2 linked regions of the Arabidopsis thaliana genome follow. The protein of the gene in region 1 interacts with the protein of each later gene in a pairwise test. Each region holds a gene or a part of one and is shown in the gene's direction. Other genes may lie near its edges.

Evidence for each region.
Region 2: the proteins of AT4G37280 (region 1) and AT3G54390 interact in a two-hybrid assay, tested with the Arabidopsis thaliana proteins (one large-scale study listed by BioGRID).

The regions. Positions count from the first base shown.
Region 1 is NC_003075.7:17,542,350-17,554,253, reverse strand, and holds AT4G37280 (MRG family protein), read left to right. Parts: upstream 1-4,694; 5' UTR 4,695-4,891; coding exon 4,892-5,032; intron 5,033-5,624; coding exon 5,625-5,678; intron 5,679-5,787; coding exon 5,788-5,801; intron 5,802-5,891; coding exon 5,892-6,037; intron 6,038-6,140; coding exon 6,141-6,176; intron 6,177-6,311; coding exon 6,312-6,352; intron 6,353-6,534; coding exon 6,535-6,636; intron 6,637-6,812; coding exon 6,813-6,892; intron 6,893-6,983; coding exon 6,984-7,153; intron 7,154-7,235; coding exon 7,236-7,320; intron 7,321-7,412; coding exon 7,413-7,506; 3' UTR 7,507-7,677; downstream 7,678-11,904. Other genes in the region: AT4G37295 (uncharacterized protein), read right to left, coding at 366-626; AT4G37290 (uncharacterized protein), read left to right, coding at 4,071-4,325; HMA1 (heavy metal atpase 1), read left to right, coding at 7,902-8,402, 8,502-8,652, 8,749-8,933, 9,064-9,210, 9,299-9,494, 9,654-9,766, 10,129-10,367, 10,786-10,891 and 3 more. UniProt on the Arabidopsis thaliana protein: Chromatin remodeling factor. Acts as a 'reader' protein by binding to H3K36me3 and H3K36me3 to control histone H4 acetylation. Increases the transcriptional levels of the flowering time genes FLC and FT.
Region 2 is NC_003074.8:20,133,216-20,143,837, reverse strand, and holds AT3G54390 (sequence-specific DNA binding transcription factor), read left to right. Parts: upstream 1-4,593; 5' UTR 4,594-4,840; coding exon 4,841-4,869; exon of another isoform or gene 4,870-4,955; coding exon 4,956-5,490; intron 5,491-5,551; coding exon 5,552-5,926; 3' UTR 5,927-6,100; downstream 6,101-10,622. Other genes in the region: AT3G54400 (Eukaryotic aspartyl protease family protein), read left to right, coding at 1,239-1,682, 2,480-2,957, 3,192-3,547; SAC3C (SAC3/GANP/Nin1/mts3/eIF-3 p25 family), read left to right, coding at 7,086-7,323, 7,593-7,693, 7,983-8,204, 8,585-8,803, 8,895-8,980, 9,094-9,190, 9,496-9,588, 9,689-9,853.

The DNA.
Region 1 (11,904 bases):
CAAAAAGGAAAAGAGATAATCATGTGGCTGTATATCATTTAAGTTGCACCAGAATGGCCGATAACATATCTCCTCAATCTATATTATTGACTCATATACAATTTGCATGGTTGATGGCTTAACGTAGATCTCAAAATTGAAATTTGTTAAACTAAAATAAATATCGATTAATGGGCACGTACTATAAATTGGTGTTTATGAGAAGGAAACCGACTATTGTATGATCAAAGAATATCACCCTTCTAAACTTTACATGGATCTTTAGCGACTGAATAAATATAATAATCTATAAAAAATGAAAAATATGATTCTATGACCTGAGCTAAACAAATATCGAAGTATAATGTTTTGTTTGGGTTCGTATTTTAGTGACCAGCACCTCTCCTGCTCGGTCCTGAAGCCATTGTATGCATCCTCTCCCCGGCCGATGAGAGCCACCTTAGCTTCTTATAACCATGTATCACGACCCCTAATAAGTCTTCACTTCGTAAATCGACCCCATGAATTTTAGATTGATCGATTTCCTCCGTCGAACCACCAAGGAGAACTCTGCAATCCGCGGTTCTTGATTCCGAAAAGGCCGAGACCAAGAACATGACCGTAAAGATCAAGCCAACCGGTCTCATTTTTTGGTGTGGTTGTTCGGTTCTTGAGGTTTAGGGTTTAAGACAATGAATGTGTTTTGGTGATTGATAGAAAAGGAGTAACAAAGGAGGAAGTAAAGCTTTATATACAAGTGTCAAAAGATTCAAAGGTAGATGAAAAAGGATGGAGAGGAAGGAAGATAGGAGTTTTCATTAGAATTAAAGTAATATAAAAAAAAAAACTAAAAAAATTGTTAGGGAATATAAAATGGAATAAGGTGTAGAATTAGACCCTCGATACAAGGGGATGGTGCAGGCGAATTAGTAAAAAAGGACGGTCTCTAGCTTCCTTGGAAATGGACCTTTCGAAAAGTGTTAATTGTTTTTTTTGACTAGCTAAATGTTTTTCTTAATAGCTTTAAATCTAAAGTATTATAGTTTGATTGAGAATATATATATGTATTTTGTTTTTGTTTTTACTGCTTAAAATATGAATACAAAATTCTGGCACACTATTAAATTATGGGATTTGTTTATGGCTTAAGATACACAATATTCCAATGAATCAATCTTCCAAATGACAATTCAAGTTGTAGTTGGTAATTTAAAAATCCTGACTTTTTGTTAGTGGAGTTAGGCAGGACTATATATACCAATATTTTCGGTATATGGTTTCATGATCAAAAACATTTATACCGACAAGGAGTTTAGTAATCACCACGTAAACTTTGCAATTGCCAAATGAGCCAAATGAAAGTACTAGACTACAAGTCTACAACTATTTGATTTCATATTTCTATCATTTGAAGTTTTATGTCAAACTAATATTGTAGAATTTTTTTTGAGCGGAGGCTTTCTTATTACAATGACTTAAGTTGATTACTTGATTTAACTCTACGGTCGTGGATCATCGACTCGGTTTTAACCTTTAGAAACTGGAAGAGTACTGATGAAGGTAGGGCACGAATGCGTAGAAGTGACGTAGGAGGAGGTAAGAGAAATAAAGTACGTATTTGTTTCTCACACTTTCGCGAATAATTTGATCGGAATAAATTTGACCATACGAATCCTCGAGACTTGTTCTGCATAGTGCATAGGAGAACGTTTTCATTGTATTGATCGATTTTTTTTTTTCTTTTTCTAATTAAGTTTTGAAGATTTGTGAATGGTAAGAACTAATGCATGATTTTTAGTACTGTGCAAAGAAATAAATAAGAAACACAAAGATCAAACAATGAGTCCTAAGAAGTGGAATTTTTAAACCAAAATCATACTAAATCATAACTCAACGATAATTAATAAATGAAAACTCTAGAATTTTTCAAAAAACGAACAAAACATAATTGTCATGTTGGTTCGTGGGCATGAGAAAAAGAAGGGAGATAACATAGACAGACAAATTCGGTGGTACTCACACAAAATACTTGTATGGACGGACGGACTCTAACTCTGCTTCATAGTTGTCATGATAACAATATTGGCATCTATCTTCTTCCTCTTTTTCCTTTTTGTTTTTAAACGTCACTTCCCCCACATGTATGATGTACCCTCAATTTTATTTCATTATCAATCTTGCATCTTCGAATCTTTTTTAAAAAAAATCGAGTTTGCAGAACTAAATCCATAATTATTTCTAATTTCGATTTTTTAATGTGAAATATTTAGTGGTCAAATATGAATATAAGTACTGTTTATGGACGAACCATGTGAACATATCATGTTTTCGATATACAAATTATGATATTGCATTGTGCAGTCACAATTTGGTTCTTTTGAGATGTTATAGTTGTATACTACCTTAATCCCTAGAGATACATATCTGCTATTTGAATGGATTAAAGATTTGCTTTTATATAGATTTAAGTAAATAATTGAAATTCTTTTGTCCAAAGATATTTGTTCAAGAATTATATTAATTTCATGTAATTGGAAGGAATACAAAAGACTGGAATCTTGATAATGAATTTATTAATGCAGAATTTGATTCCATTATTAATGGACTACCACGTCCGAACTATACATAGTTAAACATTTTTTCTTCTTGTATTATTCTGGCGTGGTCTTACGCCACTTATAAACTATATTATTTTGGCCAAACCAATATTTATAAAATCGAAATAAAACATTAAACCGGGTTTTAAGTACTTTGTTTGTATTATTCAATAATTGGTTATTAAACTAAGTTAATAATTTCAAAATAGTGATTTCACCTTAAAATATGGGAAAGAGTTTCCTGATGCTCTGGAATTTGGTTTCTTTGTCTTATACTCTAACTGCGGATAAAAAGGAGCGATTTTGCTATAAAAAGGAACAGTTTGAGATGATATTACACTTTATTCCGGTAAATTATTTGGCTACCATCAATAATATATTCTTCAAAACTATCAATCTTCCTTTTTTTTTAGAAAATAAATAAATTTCATCACAACTCTGTTTGAAAAATCGTTTATGAACTTGAGACGGAAAAATTATCATAATTCAACGTCATATAGCAGCAAGAGTTGAAATAAAAATTAATGGTTTTGTCTTTTCATAGGATAGATTTCTTATTTCTACCTAACAAAAACTAAAATTTGGATGTTGAATTTTGAGTAGTATAAAGTTTGGTTGTTCAATGTTTTTTGCAAGAAAAATCACGTGAGAAGGAACTATTTTTGGTCGTGCAAGAAAAATAACACCAAAGTGTTTGAACTTTTGAAGCATTGATGATTAGGTTTGGTGTATCTAACAATATTATAAAACAAACACATGAGATCCGACTCATAGTCAATTTAGCTTATGTCACTCCTTAAATCAGCTGGTTTAACCGAACCAGAAACCCTAACCAAATTTTTAAAAAAAATTCAAGTTATCTGATTTTAAATTTATTTTCTATATATAAAAAATTTGGCTGAAAGTTGAAACGAAACCAAAGCTAGAGATGTACATTTTCTAGTAAAGTAAAATAAAGTAAACAAATTCAATCTGAAACCAACAATATACCATAATATACTTACGAAAACCAAATCTAAACCGGCTAACGATATATGTGAGTGTGACTTTATATACGTTGCGAGTTTGAAATTCAAGCATTATTTTTGGTCTACACAACTACAAATCTACCTTAATATTTAGCTGCCGTCTGCTCCAAACAATGAAACTTCATGTTTGGTCTACGATATTAAATTCTTTATTTCTAATATTCAATTCCTTATCCTTTTCTTCATTGATGGCTTTCACTATTTTGTGTTCAATAAATACACACAAAATTGAATGCTCAAGAAACAAGTTGGTATTTTCCCAGGAAGCAGCATACTAACTAATTTCAATGATCACATTCTTTTCAATTCAAACTTAGTCAAGAATAAAAATTCAAACTTTGCATCTCCACGAACACTACTATATAGTCACATTCTCAACTCACAAAACACTCACAACAAAATTCATTATCTGCCAAAGAGAAAGAAAACCATATTTTTTATAAACAGAGTTAAATTGTTCTTAAACATGATGATGAACAAAAACGTTCTGAGTTCGATTCTGTTCTTCATGTTGATTGGTTCGGTTCTTGTCGAGAGTCGTCCGCTTGGTCTAACAAAGACCGAGGAGAAGTTCGTGGCTAGTTTATTCGATGGCTTATCACTTGGTTCGATCAAAGACTCAGGTCCAAGTCCAGGCGAGGGTCATAAGGTCGTGGACAGGAAGGATACGTTTCGATTTGTTAAGCACTCAGGTCCAAGCCCAAGCGGACCGGGCCACTAATGTTTCAATCTTTAGTTCAAACCGGGCCGGTTAAAGTGCCCATACCCATCTAGGTCGAGAAAATTATTTCATTTTTTTGTTCCAGTTTCATTAGTGGAAAATATTATACATGTCTCATGTTTCTGATCGATACATAGGAAGAAGAATGGCAAAAACAATAATTATTGTCTCATTTTTCTATATTTAGGATTATTGTTTTGTTAGTGAAATAAAGTTACTTGAAAAGTATACAAATAAAATGTATTAATCAATTTTTTTATATTTATTTGAATGTAATAATAGTTAATAAACATCAGTGTCCAAAGTGAAATATGAGTCCAACTGCTCAACGACCAATAAAGGCATAAATTTTTTTAAAAAGACAATGCTTTATAAATGGGCGACGAGTATATTTAAAAGGTTTAAGAGATTTAATCGAACTATTGTGAAAGTTAAGGGACTCAATTGAAAAACTATTCGCAACGATTCAGTCATTCAGCAGTTGTCGTAGATTCATTTATCTAGACGGTTAAAGGGGTGCCTTGTGATGTGAAGATCTTTGCCTCTCGCTCTCGCTTTCGGTGACAATGGGAAGCTCGTCGAAGGAAGAGACGGCGAGTGACGGAGATACGGCGAGCGGTGGCGCCTCACCGTCCAACGACGGCAGACTCTTCTCGGAGGGCGAGCGTGTTCTCGCTTACCATGGTCCTCGCGTCTACGGAGCCAAGGCAAATAAAAAACCTCTCTCTCTCTCTCTCTTTCTCTGTGCATCGTCAGATGTTCGCATAATTTGAATTCTAGAGATTATCTTGTTCGTGTTAATTTAGCAATTCTTGTATTTCACGTGGGTTTTGGTTGTATCCGACTACGGAATTAACTGGTTTCATTGAATTGAGATCTCTCTGCTAGATTTGGCTTAGGGGTTTCTTGGTAGATTTCGGTTTCAAGTTACGACGATCCGAAAGATGAACCCATTGAGATTGGATTCGAGTTTTCTTTTTTTGGTAATGGATTCATGTAGCATTAGAGCTTTTTAGATTGGAATGATCATAAATGCTTAGTCGTAATAGATGCAAAAGAATAATTCACTTGCCGTTGGAGCAAGGAATTCAATAAATTACTCGGAAAATAGGGCAAGCTAATCTACTTGCATGTTTATTTTTTCAATCATATATTATATAGGTCACTGGATTGAGTCTCATTCATATCAAATGTGTGTCGTTGTTATGCTAAATCTTCATAGTTTTGAAAAAAATCTGTTATTGCATAGTGTTTTCAGTGTGTGGGCAGACCTGATAGATTATTGACATTCCATTACAGGTTCAAAAGGTCGAGCTTCGGAAAAAGGAGTGGAAATACTTTGTGCACTATCTTGTGAGGCCTCCTTCTTCTGAGCTATTATAGTTTCATTATCCTGTTTCATGTACTAGCTATTTTCATTTTGGTTTGCAGTAATAAGTGATACAGCGATCTTTGTCTGCAGGGTTGGAACAAAAAGTGAGTATCTCTCTCTGCTCTCATGTCGATTCTGGTTTATGTAGCAAAATCAGTAGATTGGGACCCATGACATGATTGTCTTGCCAACAGTTGGGATGAATGGGTTAGTGCGGATAGATTGTTGAAACATACCGAGGAGAATCTTGTCAAACAGAAAGCTCTAGACAAAAAGCAAGGAGTTGAAAAAGGTACCAAGTCTGGCCGTTCCGCTCAGACAAAAACTAGAAGCTCTGCAGGTGAGTTGTTGCCTCCACATTGACCATGCTGAGAGTACATGATACATATTTTGGTCATCCAGGCTAAGAAACTAACTATTTCTTTCTGATCTTGCACTTGCAGACACAAAGGCTGATAAAGATGACACCAAGACCAATGGTAGGCAACATATTAATTTACGCTCCCTTTGTAGTTCAGGGTTCTCCCAACAATTTCCAAGGAAATGATTTGGTAGACTGGGTGCAACTTAAATTATTTAAGCTGGTGTATAGATGATTACATTTTCTGTTGCAGCTGCAAAAGGGAAGAAACGAAAGCACGAGTCAGGCAATGAGGTCAGGCTTGCAAAAACTTAGAGATGTATTTGGTTCATACCTGTTAGGTCTTTGTTAAGATTATATTTTACAGTACAATAGATGGCTGATGTGTTGTTATGCATATACACACATACGAAAAGGGTCAATTTTTCAGGTCTTCTAATATCGATAAGGTTTTTGTTTTCATTTGTAATCTATAGAAGGATAATGTAACGGCGGAGAAGCTAATGAAGATCCAAATTCCCGCATCACTTAAAAAGCAACTCACTGACGACTGGGAGTATATTGCGCAGAAGGACAAGGTATCATCAATTTTCTCTATTTTGTGCACATACTTTTAGCACTATTAGAATTGTTATTGAATCAGCTAGACTTGAAAGTTAAGAGACATAAGTGTGTATTTGTAGTCGAATGAATTGTGTATACCAAAGTGAAGGGAAATTGATGTTTGGTAATCTGTCTTCAAATGATTATATAGGTTGTGAAACTTCCTCGTTCACCTAACGTCGATGAGATATTGTCCAAGTACCTTGAATTCAAAACCAAGAAGGATGGAATGTGAGTCTTTTACTCGAACACAGAGTTTGATATATTTGAATCTTTTCCGAAATCCAACGATACAAAATTTTGTGTTTCTGTTTTTGTGCAGGGTAACTGATTCGGTCGCTGAAATATTGAAAGGCATAAGGAGTTATTTCGACAAGGCATTGCCAGTGATGCTCCTATATAAGAAAGAGAGGCGACAATACCAAGAATCAATCGTGGATGATACTTCACCTTCAACTGTTTATGGCGCCGAGCATTTGCTCCGTCTCTTTGGTAAAATCTCATTAAGTTCTTATTTGGACAGTAAAATTCGATGTTCTGAAATTTTATTTTTGCTTTTTTTAAAAATCTGCAGTCAAGTTGCCAGATCTTTTTTCATATGTAAACATGGAAGAAGAAACATGGAGTCGCATGCAACAAACATTATCAGACTTCCTCAAGTATATATCTAATCTCTCTGTTTCATCACTACCATTTTGATTTCTCGGTTTTAACGGTTAAATTCACAATTTCTGGAAAAAAATCTTTACAGGTTTATTCAGAAGAATCAGAGCACTTTCTTGCTACCATCAGCATATGATTCTGATAAGGTTTCAGATGGTAAAGGCAAAGGAAAAGACGACTGACATCTCCAGGAAAAAAATATTGTTGTAATTTAGAATTCCTTCATTTTTCTGATGAATTCATAATTGTAAGATTTGCAGCTGAATATGAAATATTTTACAGGCCTTTGAAGTTAACTATTTGGTTCATGTAAATTTCTTTAAGTGGTCAATAAAACATCCGGAACAATGGAACCTTGGTTGGTAGAAGGCAACAAAAAAAATGGAAAAAATAAAAAAGTGTATGAGATGAGATTATTTATGTGGCTAATGTCATCGGAATAATTACATTGGTTCTCCTTCTCTGTTATTATTCTTTCATCTTTTTCACCAAGACGAACGACTCTTACACGCAGAGTTCGCGAGATCAGAATCAATGGTGGCATGAAAAACGACGCTTGAGCTCAAATTCGTCGACCATGGAACCTGCAACTCTTACTCGTTCTTCCTCTCTTACTAGATTCCCTTATCGTCGTGGTTTATCCACTCTCCGACTCGCTCGAGTCAACTCGTTCTCAATTCTTCCACCTAAAACTCTTCTCCGTCAAAAACCGCTTCGTATCTCTGCTTCCCTTAATCTTCCACCACGGTCGATTCGTCTACGTGCTGTCGAAGATCACCATCACGATCATCATCACGATGACGAGCAAGATCATCACAACCACCATCATCATCACCATCAACACGGATGCTGTTCTGTGGAATTGAAAGCGGAGAGTAAGCCTCAGAAGATGTTGTTCGGATTCGCTAAAGCTATCGGATGGGTTAGATTGGCCAATTACCTCAGAGAGCATCTTCATCTTTGCTGCTCCGCCGCTGCAATGTTCCTCGCTGCCGCCGTCTGTCCTTACCTTGCTCCTGAACCTTACATTAAGTCTCTTCAGAACGCATTCATGATTGTTGGTTTTCCTCTTGTTGGAGTAAGGTTTTCTATAGCCTTCTCTATAAAGCTCCTTGCTAGTTTTATAATTTAGCCAGATGATTTAGTAATTTAGCTTTATGGTCATCGATGTTGTTAGGTTTCAGCATCTCTCGACGCACTTATGGATATAGCTGGAGGAAAAGTGAACATCCATGTCTTGATGGCACTTGCGGCTTTTGCATCTGTGTTTATGGGAAATGCTTTGGAAGGAGGATTGCTTCTAGCTATGTTCAATCTTGCTCATATTGGTTAGAACTTGACCTTAATAAGGATTAGGGATATGTCATTGTTAATGTTTATCATGACGGAGAGGTTTGAGCTTTTGTCTTGTCATTTTTCTGCAGCTGAGGAGTTCTTTACTAGTCGATCAATGGTGGATGTCAAAGAATTGAAAGAGAGTAATCCAGATTCTGCATTGTTGATCGAAGTACACAATGGCAATGTTCCAAATATATCTGATTTGTCATACAAAAGCGTTCCTGTGCACAGCGTAGAAGTTGGATCCTATGTTTTGGTTGGAACTGGTGAGGTCTGTGAAACTTTTCTATTTGCTTTCATTACTTGAATTTCTTAAACATGTGACCCTGTATGTCATTAGTTTAGTTTTAGCAGGGTTACAATTGCAGCTGTTAAGTAATGGAATTTTTTTTTCCATTTAGATTGTGCCTGTAGATTGCGAAGTCTATCAAGGTAGTGCTACAATTACAATTGAGCACTTGACTGGGGAAGTCAAGCCGTTGGAGGCAAAAGCTGGAGATAGAGTGCCTGGTGGTGCAAGAAATTTGGATGGCAGAATGATTGTAAAGGTATTTTTTATCCTATTCTCATTGCTTTGGCTTGTCTCTTTATTTGAAATCCTCATGCTTATCTCAATCCATGGAATTTCTAAATCAGGCTACAAAGGCATGGAATGATTCGACGCTTAACAAGATTGTACAGCTGACCGAGGAAGCACATTCTAATAAACCCAAACTTCAGAGATGGCTGGATGAGTTTGGCGAGAATTACAGCAAGGTTGTCGTTGTTTTGTCACTTGCAATTGCCTTCCTAGGTCCATTTTTGTTCAAGTGGCCTTTTCTCAGCACCGCAGGTAAGATGTCAGGATCAAGTTCTCCCTTCTTAACATTACCATAAATCATTGTTGATGTGACAAACTATTCTTGTTGTTTAATAAGATATATCACCATTTGGACAATTGATAAGAGTGGAAAATTGATTGGCTTACTTTCATTGCTTGTTAATGATGCAGCATGTAGAGGATCTGTTTACAGAGCATTGGGACTTATGGTGGCCGCATCACCATGTGCTCTGGCCGTAGCTCCATTGGCTTATGCTACTGCTATTAGTTCCTGTGCAAGAAAGGTATTGTTCAAGTACTCTACGTGATCACCAAGTGTATGTTAGCTTTCTTGGCGTTGTGATGTTTTGCAGAATTGCACTTTTGAGCATTGGTTTGTATATGTTCTCTTGTAGCAAATTAAGCTTTATAAGCTAAATAATCTTATGTGCATCAAATGTCAATGGTGAGGAATGAATGGTGCATATGCAACAACATCGTCTTATCTATGAAGACCACCATATTTCAACTAACTATTTGATATCATTTTCCTTTTGTCCAAATCCAGTTGAAAACATGGTTTATTTTCTTTTTCCTTTTTTTTTGCTATGTAAAGGTAGTATCTTCACGTGTAAGTGTGTAACCCCACCGTGTGTAACTATTATAGGGAATATTGCTGAAAGGTGCACAGGTTCTAGATGCTCTTGCGTCTTGCCATACTATTGCTTTTGACAAAACTGGTACCTTAACAACCGGCGGCCTTACTTGTAAAGCAATTGAACCCATTTATGGGCACCAAGGAGGAACTAATTCAAGTGTAATAACTTGCTGCATTCCAAATTGTGAAAAAGAAGCTCTTGCAGTTGCGGCTGCCATGGAGAAGGGCACCACGCATCCTATTGGAAGGTATTGCTTGTTTAGCATCAATTACTAGTATAAAACTTAATTACCACAAACTCTAAAACCATGCAAGTTGTGACCTATGTGCATCCCATCATCACATAGTTAGTACTGTGGCGCGTCTATAACTCATGGGAAATAAGTTATCTTGTTGGATGGTACATTCATTTCAGGAGATATGTTGACGTAAAGAATTTTAGTCCTACATCTAGAACTTATTCTTATTTCTAGTTCATTACCACAATCGGATGAAAGGAAGGGGAAAAAGCAAATTTGAACGCTATGAAGCTCTCTATCTCTGGTTTTTACACTGGTTTTTACACTGGTTTATTAGTTTAAATGATGCTTGGTCTGGTAAGAGATTGAGACTGAAGAGTACTATAGGTCTTTTCTGCTGTTTCTGACACATTTCATCTTGCTGCAGAGCTGTTGTAGATCACAGTGTGGGTAAGGATCTTCCTTCTATTTTTGTTGAAAGCTTCGAATATTTTCCTGGTAGAGGCCTTACTGCTACTGTCAACGGTGTTAAGGTGAGACTCAGTTATTTACTAGATTCTTATATATATCCATTTATCTACCAGATTTTATAGTGTATAGCTGTGGGTGATGTGTGTACATCTCTGGCTTTCATTCTTAATATATATGATGTTGTCTCTCACCACATTTTTTGGTTTTGTAATAGACAGTAGCTGAAGAGAGTAGATTACGAAAAGCATCACTTGGTTCTATAGAGTTCATTACCTCACTTTTCAAATCTGAAGATGAATCTAAACAGATCAAGGATGCTGTAAACGCGTCTTCGTACGGAAAGGACTTCGTTCATGCTGCTCTTTCTGTTGATCAAAAGGTATACTACGACTACTTCTTTAGCTGGTCTAAAAACCTCTTTCCTACTTCACAGTCTGTGATTTTCATCTCTCATCTGACCATTTATTAGTCCATAAAAACCTCTGTAACACTGAAATTTATGAGCCTTGCAACTAAATTTTGTCAGGTAACATTGATTCACCTCGAAGATCAGCCTCGTCCAGGGGTGTCAGGAGTTATAGCAGAACTTAAAAGCTGGGCCAGACTCCGAGTAATGATGTTAACTGGGGACCATGATTCAAGTGCTTGGAGAGTTGCAAACGCAGTGGGTATTACCGAAGTCTACTGCAACCTAAAGCCAGAGGATAAGTTAAATCATGTAAAGAACATTGCTCGGGAAGCAGGTGATCATTCATTACTCTCGCCATAGTTCCCAATCAAAAACATCTATCAAGAGACTGAGAATTTAGAGTTGTGATTTTTGCTAGGTGGAGGTTTAATTATGGTAGGAGAAGGGATTAATGATGCTCCAGCTCTAGCAGCTGCAACAGTGGGGATTGTTCTTGCTCAACGAGCGAGTGCCACTGCGATTGCCGTTGCTGACATCTTACTGCTTCGAGACAACATCACCGGTGTTCCGTTCTGTGTCGCTAAATCCCGCCAGACAACATCATTGGTAGATAAAACATAAAAGTCTTTGTTCTTAACCAGTTTCAGATGTTAGATTGCCTGATTT
Region 2 (10,622 bases), on another chromosome or scaffold:
GTTACTTCATTATCTAGACTCTTGAGTTATCCGATCCATTGATATTAATAAACACTGAAAGAATTTGTTTCCATTAGTTTAAAAGGAATTAAGCTTTTTAAGTGCATTTCACATTTTAAAAAATAGAAAAGAAGAAAGTAAAACAATGTTGTTTTTTAAGGGAATGTTGATCGGAAAAATAAAGTGAGTTTGTAAGCTTAAGACGTGTAACTTTTGAGTAAATTTCCGACGAGATATTCATTTTTGGCTTACATTTGTTAAATCGTGTAACTTTATTAAATTTTACATTTGTTATATTTTCGCTGCAACCACTTTTTTTCTTACAAAACGAGTGACTAAGTGGAGACTAAGAACAAGCAAAGCTACTTACAACTACATACAAGGGTCAAAATTTTCTTTGGTTCAATCCACACAACATGAAAACTCTATCAAATTATATCAAATATTTTAGTATAGAGGATATTGACATATCACATTCAACTCTTAAGAAACAAACAACAATGAAGATACTTTACACCATTAATTTTTTTAATAATTGATGGACAGCACTACATAGTGGAGAAGAGGCCAATGTGAGATATAACCCACCACATGGTAATGAGTATTGGGTAGTTTTGATACATTCCATAATATGCAACAATACATAATGCATTTATGTCGGTCTTCCACTTTCTACTCCTCACGTGAAACCTTTGATCTTTCTCTTTGAGAAAAAAAAAATTCAACTCAGTTTCTCGGATCTCTTAAACAATACCACTCCACACGTTCCTCTGCTATTTCCCTTATCGTTGTATAAATTGGATATTTATCAAAACTGTAACTATTTTGTTAGAATGAGAATCGGTTTTATCAATATACCGATTTTTTTTTTTTTTTGCTAAGAGTCAATATACCGATTAATCAGCTAGACTTCCAGTTTGACTTGATTACCATTCGATAATGAGTCTAAAAATTACAACACCTTGGGTAATGAGTTTTTGTGGATGGAGAGCAACGCGCATGTCGATAGAGAAGAGAGCCAATATTAGTGTGGACCCAAAAAACAGATAGAAACAACGAAAAAATAGGAGATGGAATACAGACTGTTCTCTCTACGATATACAAAACCCCACTCTTCATTTTTATATTCTTATTACTTTCTACACACTCATCGTATATCACTCACTATATAAACACACACTCACACATTCACTCTACAAACACTAGAAACCACAAAGACAAAATCAAGGTCTTAAACAATGAGATCCCATCTCTTGATTTTGTTAATCTCTCTCTTAATCTTGAAATCTGAATCCATAAACTGCAATGAAAAGAGCCATTCCTCAGATCTAAGAGTGTTCCACATTAACAGTCTATGTTCTCCATTCAAAACTTCTGTTTCATGGGCAGATACACTTCTTCAAGATAAGGCTCGTTTCCTATACTTGTCAAGCCTCGCTGGCGTTAGGAAATCATCAGTTCCAATCGCCTCTGGTCGGGCCATCGTTCAGAGCCCGACTTACATCGTGAGGGCTAACATCGGGACACCGGCTCAGCCCATGCTCGTGGCTCTTGACACTAGCAATGACGCTGCTTGGATTCCTTGTTCTGGCTGCGTTGGCTGTTCTTCCTCTGTTCTCTTTGACCCTTCCAAGTCAAGCTCCTCTCGTACTCTTCAATGCGAAGCTCCTCAGTGTAAACAGGTAACTAAATATTGCTTTATAGTTATACCCTCCGTATAAATTAGATATGTGCATGCATTCTCTGGATGGACTTGAAAAATGAAAACTATACTCAACGTAATTTTTTTGAATCATATCATACATTCATACTTAACGATACTTTTGTACTGAATAAACCGGGAAAATCGATATACAAAAAATACATTTAAATTATACTAACAAATAATTCGCATTTTTACTTTGTTCAAAACAAGATCTAATCAGAACATACATAAATGTTTCAAATCGAAAGAAAAAAAATGGTTAGTATTTGGACTTGATTATTTTTAACAAAACAAGAAATTTAAAACCAAAACCGAAATACGAACCGAATGTCAGGCGTAATGTGAATGCCTCTACGTCAATTTTTGGATCCATCTACACAAAAGATGTGAATGTGAACTTCGTTTTTGGCGTGTTATTACACCATGATCGAGAAGTCTAGTCACGGGTTTTGGACCTTTTGGTACCATGAGTCTAAGTCACGGGTATATTATTATTTATACAAGAAATTTATAAACAATCCAACTAGTAGAGCATATTTTACTGTTTGAACTTTGATCTATATATATACTTTGTCGTCATGCTAGTTAGGTTTTGCCTATAATACAAAAACGCCACTTACAACTGCAATTAAATAACGTAACACATCGTTAGTAGCGCAATTTAATAACCAGATCCAAGATGGATAAAACAATTCTTTATGGAAATACGTTGTTAAACTCAAAGAACAAAAAAAATTCTAAATATTAATCAATAAAGAGTTTTTTTTATTGCAGGCTCCAAATCCAAGTTGCACAGTAAGCAAATCATGTGGTTTCAACATGACCTACGGTGGTTCAACCATCGAAGCATATCTGACACAAGACACACTAACATTGGCCAGTGACGTCATCCCAAACTACACCTTTGGGTGCATCAACAAAGCTAGTGGAACATCGTTGCCAGCGCAAGGACTCATGGGCTTAGGTCGTGGTCCATTGTCTTTAATCTCACAGTCACAAAATCTTTATCAGTCTACATTCTCGTATTGCTTGCCTAATAGTAAGTCCAGCAATTTCTCCGGATCACTAAGATTGGGACCTAAGAACCAACCGATCCGGATCAAGACCACTCCATTGTTAAAGAACCCTAGAAGATCATCGCTTTACTATGTTAACTTGGTTGGGATTCGTGTCGGAAACAAAATTGTGGATATTCCTACAAGTGCACTCGCCTTTGATCCGGCCACCGGAGCCGGCACCATCTTTGACTCGGGTATGGACTTCTCAACCCTCCTTAATATTTTTTATTTTTCGCTTGAGAACTGAAAAGTCGTGCGATGGAAGTAACCTAATTGCTCTGCTCTCTCACACGTAACACGTGATATTTCTGGACTAAAAATGATTTTACAATCAAAACAAAAATGGCCAATCCAAATTTTCATATAAAAATTATATTTTAGAAAAGAAATTTGATTTTTAATTACAAAACACTTTTGAATGTACGCAGGGACGGTCTACACAAGGCTAGTCGAACCAGCTTACGTGGCGGTGAGAAACGAGTTCAGGAGACGTGTTAAGAACGCAAACGCAACTTCACTAGGAGGTTTCGACACATGCTACTCCGGCTCCGTCGTGTTCCCGTCGGTGACGTTTATGTTCGCCGGAATGAACGTGACTCTGCCTCCAGACAACCTTCTCATCCACAGCTCCGCAGGTAACCTCAGCTGCCTCGCCATGGCTGCAGCTCCGGTCAACGTTAACTCTGTCCTTAACGTCATCGCTAGTATGCAGCAACAGAACCACCGAGTTCTCATCGACGTTCCAAATTCCAGGCTCGGAATTTCCCGTGAAACTTGCACCTAAGTTTTATCGATTTGTATTTTTGTTTTCGGTCGATTTCGTAATGCGTTTTGAACTTTTGAATTTTGGAAACTATATAAGTTAATGATTTTTGTTAATTCTCAAACGATTGTAAAATCTTTCGTATGATTTTCTTTCGATGTTCTCTGTTCAAAAAGGATTGTACTCATGAATTTGCGGATGCAATAAGCCTGGAACAGAGGACCTTTATTATTTTAAATATATATATGTTCCAACTTCCAAGTATAATCATATGCATCAACTTCATGAGAAAGTACCAAAATGTCAACAAAAAATGATTATGCCTTGGAAGGCATTTTCATCACCCAAATGAGACTGAGAAGTTCTAAATGGCGCGTTAAAAATCTACGATGATAATCTTGTAGACCCCAAAATGTCCGATGTGCTGCCTTGAAGTTGCATAGTTCATCATACTCCACTAACGAGGAAACACATTCACTCTTACAACAAAACTTCTCTCATATAGGTAAGAAAAAAGGTGTGAAAATTAAAGACTTGTCCTAATATTTGGTACTTGTAATATTTGGATGACTTGATAATTAACCAAAGATTTTAGTGAACACTAACCCACAAAATTTCTGAATGTTTTGAAAGATATACACTTTCAATAAGTGAAAAAGGAACAACCCCGAATTAGTATCTTTGCGCAAACATGAGAGAAGAAAAAGAGTGGAACATAGAATGGGTGAGAGAGTGACAAGTGTAAACCCCACTTCCATTAGGTTCATTCCCATCTTTGCCAAATGGATTTTGCGGTTTGGCTTGACATCAACGCTAACAGCCAGACTCACTCCACCATACACCTAAAAAGAGAAAAAAAGCATACAAAAAGGCTTTTATAGCTAAATGAATAAAAGCATTTGCATCAGAAGATTTTTGAAATCATTATTGTGAAAAAATAAAATCAAAAGTAAAACCTTTTTTCAAGTTGACAAATAAAAGAAAAGAAACCCTATTTTTCAATGGTAACCCACTTTCTCACATTTTTCTCTTTATTCTCCTCTATAGTATGTGTGTGTGACGGGTTGCTCCACTAACTTTTGTGAAGGTAAGTATAAAGCCGGTGCAATTATGCGTTTCTCTGTTTGTATTTGTAATCTTTATACAAACCATAAATTGGAACAAAGACTAAAATGACAGTAACAATATAAGTGAAAAACATAATTTCATTAGCTTTAAGTCACGAGGCACGACCATTGAACATGCGAGAAACGCGTGTACCCAAACTCATTGGTTAGTTTTGAGAGCAGCAGCGTATTCTTACACAGTTCTCATATGTTTAACTCCATTCACTCTCTCAAAAGGTTCCCATCTTTATCAAAAGACTTGCTAAAATCTTCTCTTTCTTTCTCCTTTCATCACACTCTTGAGTCCTTGTCTCTGTTTTTAGTCACCTGAAGAAAAAATATATGGAGAACGGAGAATCTAACCAAGAAAATCTCAAATCTCTCAACCACGACGAATCGCTTAAGAAGCCATCTGCTTCCTCCGTCGTTGTAGATAGGTTAAAACGTGATGAATGGAGCGAAGGAGCTGTTTCGACTTTACTCGAAGCTTATGAGTCAAAATGGGTTCTCAGAAACAGAGCCAAGCTTAAGGGACAAGACTGGGAAGACGTGGCTAAACACGTGTCCTCACGCGCCACTCACACCAAGTCACCAAAGACTCAGACTCAGTGCAAGAACAAGATCGAGTCCATGAAGAAACGGTACCGTTCTGAGTCCGCTACTGCTGATGGCTCCTCTTGGCCTCTTTATCCTCGTCTTGATCATCTCCTACGTGGAACTCAGCCTCAGCCTCAGCCTCAAGCTGTTCTGCCTCTGAATTGCTCTGTTCCTCTGCTCTTACTTGAGCCGCCGTTGCCTGCGGTGGCTCATCCGCCGCAGATTTCTTACGGATCCAACGGCGTCGGCAAGATTCCTAAGGTCTGATCACCTAAACTAACCAAATTTGGGAGATTTTCTAATGAAGTTATTTTGTGTGTAGGAAGACGGATTCAAGCCGGAGAACAAACCGGAAAAAGATGCGGAGATGGATACAGACAGTAGTACGCCTGTGGTTAAAACGAAGGTGAGAGGGAAGAAAGTGAAGAGAAGATATAAAGAAGAGAAGGAAGAGATCGCCGGAAGTATACGGTGGTTAGCGGAGGTGGTGATGAGATCAGAGAGAGCAAGAATGGAGACGATGAAAGAGATAGAGAGAATGAGAGCTGAAGCTGAAGCTAAGAGAGGAGAATTGGATTTGAAACGGACGGAGATAATGGCGAATACTCAGCTAGAGATTGCTAGAATCTTTGCTGCTGCAGCTTCTTCTGGACAGAACAAAGGTGTTGATTCTTCATTAAGGATCGGAAGAAATTGAGTTCTGCTTTTTATATTGGAGACTCAAGATGTTGTGTGTACATACCAAGTGTTGTTTTGTCAAAATTTCTCAGAGAGAGACCAATAATTGTTTCCTGGGGTAGATGGCGATTTCCACATTTCTACCAGCAAATGTATGCTTTTGCCATATGAATATCATCAATCTTTAGTCAAAGAGATGCTAATACTGTCTCAAATTTGTGTGTGTTTAAGTGTTTTAACTCTTCAGGTAGAGATTTACAGAGAATGCTTGGTAGATAGTTCGGTTCGATCAGTTTGGTCGTGTTAGAGATTGTAGTGAAAGAGAAAATAAGTCTTAGCAAAAGAATGCGAGACAACTGTCTAGTATTAGTGGAGATGAACCAGCTTTTTCTCTTTGCATTTCTAATATGGAGTTTTTTTTGGATGGGAAATTGCACTATGATAGTATGATTAGTGGTTCTAGTCTATGTGTTTTGAATGTTAGCAGTTAGATTCTTGTTAGGGATAGTTGATGAAAAGAAACCTAAATTTGTAGTGGTGGACACATTGTTCTCTGCTGTCTAGAGAGTGGCCGTGACTACTAGACCCACCAACCGGCCTAAGCTTGCCTGTATAGGGGTGGGAAAAAATAGAATAACACCAAAAATGAAATGCTCAAATGACAAAATCAAAATTGATTTCCTTCAAATATATCTAACTAGACTATTGTTTGTAAAAAAACAAAACAGAACCGAATCGTAATTGCACAAATGACTAAACCATATATTCTTCCCAAAAAAAAAAGACCAAACCGTATACGAAAGGTTTGATTTGGTATCGATTTAAAAAGAAAATCTGCAAAACCGGAAAGAAAAACAAAACAAAACTTAAAATCAAATTTTCCAAAACTATATATGTAAATTACAAAGTGTAGGGAAATGTGAAATGTTCTAGATTCTTACTTGAGTTGAATTTTGAATGCTGCATTTGTAGAAATGCAAATTTGTGTACAAGTCAGAACCGGTGTAAATTAAATTGACCCGGTTGCCGCCAGATTTAATTCGCTGAGAGTACTGTACCGGATTTGGTTCTCTTCCGGTTTATTCCAAATAATAGTTCGGTAACAGCTTTGATTGGTTCGTTTCTTCAGAGTCTGGTTTGGGACTTGGGAGGGAAGAAGATCTCGTTCCCTCTAAGCCATGAATCGTCGTAATCGTGGCTCTTCTTCTTCTTCTTCTAGGGTTTCGAATACTTATGGGAACCGCCAGTTCTCTGATAACCCGAGGACTGGATCCGGCGGCGGAGTTAATGAATCCTTTCAGAGAAGATCCGATGCACCGCACAAACGAAACAATGAAAAAGACGAATCAAAACATAAAGACGAAGATCCTGCTGACGTTTCATTGATTGTAGGAACTTGTTCTTCTATGTGCCCAGGTAATCATCGAACTACGTTAGCTGCAGATAAATTACCAATTGACCTGAGATTCCGCTAAAATTCAACCCTATCCTGCACCTGAATTGGATTTGATCTAGTTCTTAGGTCAATTAGGTACTTTCCCTTCATCAATTCATGATCCTTCCGTGCATCGGCAGTTCAGAACAAAGAATTATCTTTTGCTAGGGGTTTAGGTAAAAAATTACACTTGAAGTACCAAAAAGAGTGTGTACAGCTTCATCTAATATGTTGTTTTTGGTATCAATAGAGAGGGAAAGAGTCACAAGAGAACGCCTGCGTGATCTTGCAGTGTTTGAGAGGCTTTATGGAAACCCCTCAAAATCATCCACAGAGATAGCTGTCAAAAAGGTGCGGTTCACATTGTACAGCTTTGAGTTTTCATGTCTCTGGTGCTAATGTGGGAAACTTTCACCTTCAGCTTTCTATATTTGACATGTCGTATCTATTCTTCGAGAGAACTTGTTATTGAAAGAAATTTGATGTTGAAATTCTTCATCTATGCAAATTAGAATCCATAACTTATTGGTCAAGATGAATAGTTTGTACTACTTATTGGGAGATACCAGCTGCTATGCAATGAGGTTCATTTTTTTCCAATACCAACGGCATTTATACTCTCTTTCTGTGTTCTTGCTAGTTTTGCAGAACCCTTTCAGCGGCGGATGTTCAGGCATCGGATGTAAGACCGCTCCCAGTTTTAGAAGAAACCCTGAGATACCTTCTAAGTTTGCTCGACTCCAAGGAGCACCCGTTTGAAGTGGTTCATGATTTTATTTTCGATAGGACAAGGTCTATTAGACAAGATCTTAGCATCCAGAATTTGGCCAATGAGAGAGTGATCTACCTTTATGAGGAAATGGTATGGTTTGACTTTTTTCTAACTCTTTTCTCTTTCCTGGTTCGGTAAATGAATTACACTGAGCATGTCTATTTTGTCTTTAGAATTGCTTTCCTTGGGTTTTGTTGACAGTCGTTTGTGTGTTTAACCCTCTGCTATTACCAAAAGAATATTTGTAAGTTTAAGATATTTTGACTTAATGTGTTGATTGTAGTTTACATAGTCGTAATCTTAATCAGGATGCTCAAATAGGATCATTTTTCTTCTTTTGTAATTTTCATAGAAATATATACCACTCTGATTGATCATCCTCTTCTGATTGGTAATCATCAGTTTGTTTTATTTTCTATAGAGTTCCGTTGATGTTATTATTGTTGACTCCCGAATGGCTTCTGTAACAGGTAAAATTTCATGTCATATCTCACGAGAGGCTTCAAAGTTGTAGTGGTACAAGTATTAGCTCAATGCATCACTTGAACATGGAGCAGCTAGCAAAAACTCTTACCTCTTTGTATAATATATATGATGCAAATAGAAAACCGGACTATATCTACGAAAATGAAGCCGAGTTCCGCTCACTCTATGTGCTGCTTCATCTCAATCCTAGTAGTGGAGTGATGGTTGTTTTCTGGTTTCTTTCTCCTTATTAATTTGTTATCATGTCACCTTCTTTTTGCCATTGATAGAAATCGTTGAGATTATGATCTGCAGGGGGAACCGCTGTCTTTATGGTTTCGCAAGTTGACTTTTGCTTTGGTAAAATCCAAGGAAATATGTTTTGTACGAAACCTTTTAAGGTAGTCTTATGCTGTTCAATCATTTGCGTATGAGTTATTTAATTTGAACAAATTTAGGAAATATGAATTGAAGTATAATGATACCTGTCTTTTCTCTTAATTTTTTCTTCCAGATTATATCGGATGGGCAATTACAAGAACTTCTTAAGTAGAACAGCTTCTGAGGCGACATACTTGCAGTATTGCATAAGTGAACATCATATTAGAGAGGTGAGCTTGCATGGATATAAATATGTAGTTATGTCCTAGCTCTCAGGGATAGTCTTTGTGGGACTTTAATTGGTAGCGGCTAATGCAATATGAAATGAAAATAAACATGAGAAAGATGATATAGAATAAGTTTGTACTAGAAAATATTACCGGTATGGTAAAGCAATTATATAGTTACATGGAATGATATTTGCAGTAAATTGTTCAAATATATGGGTGTGTATAAAGTGGCTATACATGGAATGATATTTGCAGTAAATTGTTCAATTATGTTGATCATTTGCTTAATGTTTTCATGGTAAAAGATGCGATTAGTGGCTGTCCAATACATAAACAATGTTTGCTACAAGCTTCAACCCTATCCTCTCTTGCGGTTATCTCAGAACCTGAAGATGAAGGTGATAATACCCCTATGACTAAATATTTCCCTGTCTTTTTTTTCTATTTTCGTATTGTTGGTAAACTTGAAATGTCATAAGTCAAGTTTGTATATTTCAGGAGTTGGATGTTGAATCTTTATGCCATGAGTGTGGTCTTGAGACATGTACTGATCCTGATGGGTTCACTGTTTTACCCGTGAAGCAGTCAACCTTTCGTAGTCCAGAGGACAAGTTCAAAGTTTATGATTTGATTGGAATTGAACGGATTAAGATGTCGATTTGAACCTCTTGCATGTTGTAATGCTTCATACTCTCTTATGATAAGAAGAAATTGAATTTCTAAAACACCTAAGTTATATAATCTTATATCAATCAGATAGTATCCATATATATATGTAAACTACAGAACTTGAATGGGTTCAACTGGTTATGACATTTTGGTGACTAAACCATTTCTTAGAAAATATCCGACCGGATACGGTTAAAGGATTGATTGTTTACTTTTTTTTTTTTTTCACAAAGCTAATTTTATTATCAGCACAAACCATATCAGATACATAAACCCGAGTGAATTACGGGACGACAAAGCCGGCAGGATATAATCCTCCGGTACACAAGCCGGCGAGGAATGAAACCCCGACACTAAGCCCCGACATGGGGAAACGACGTAGAAAGACAAAATAAAACATGATTGATGATTTTACACATAAACATAGTTCTCTCTTTAACCAAATAAACCAAGATCGAAAATTAACTGGCATCGGAGATTTCGTCGGAGATTGAGACACCCACTTTAAGAAAATTTGATCTTCTTGCCTTACTTGATAATTAAAAATCTTCAGAAGAAAAACCTTGGGATACTTTGGATGGCAGACGGTGGAAACTCAGCTAAACATGCAGAGACCGTCGAGAACGCCGTGGCCGGAGATATCGACTATGCGACTTGAACCGGTAGAAAGAACCCAAAATCTGGGCGGATTTCGCCCTAGATCCGTATTGTTGAAGCTGTGTGAGGAAACCCAAAATTAGGTCACCCAACCCGAATCACCACA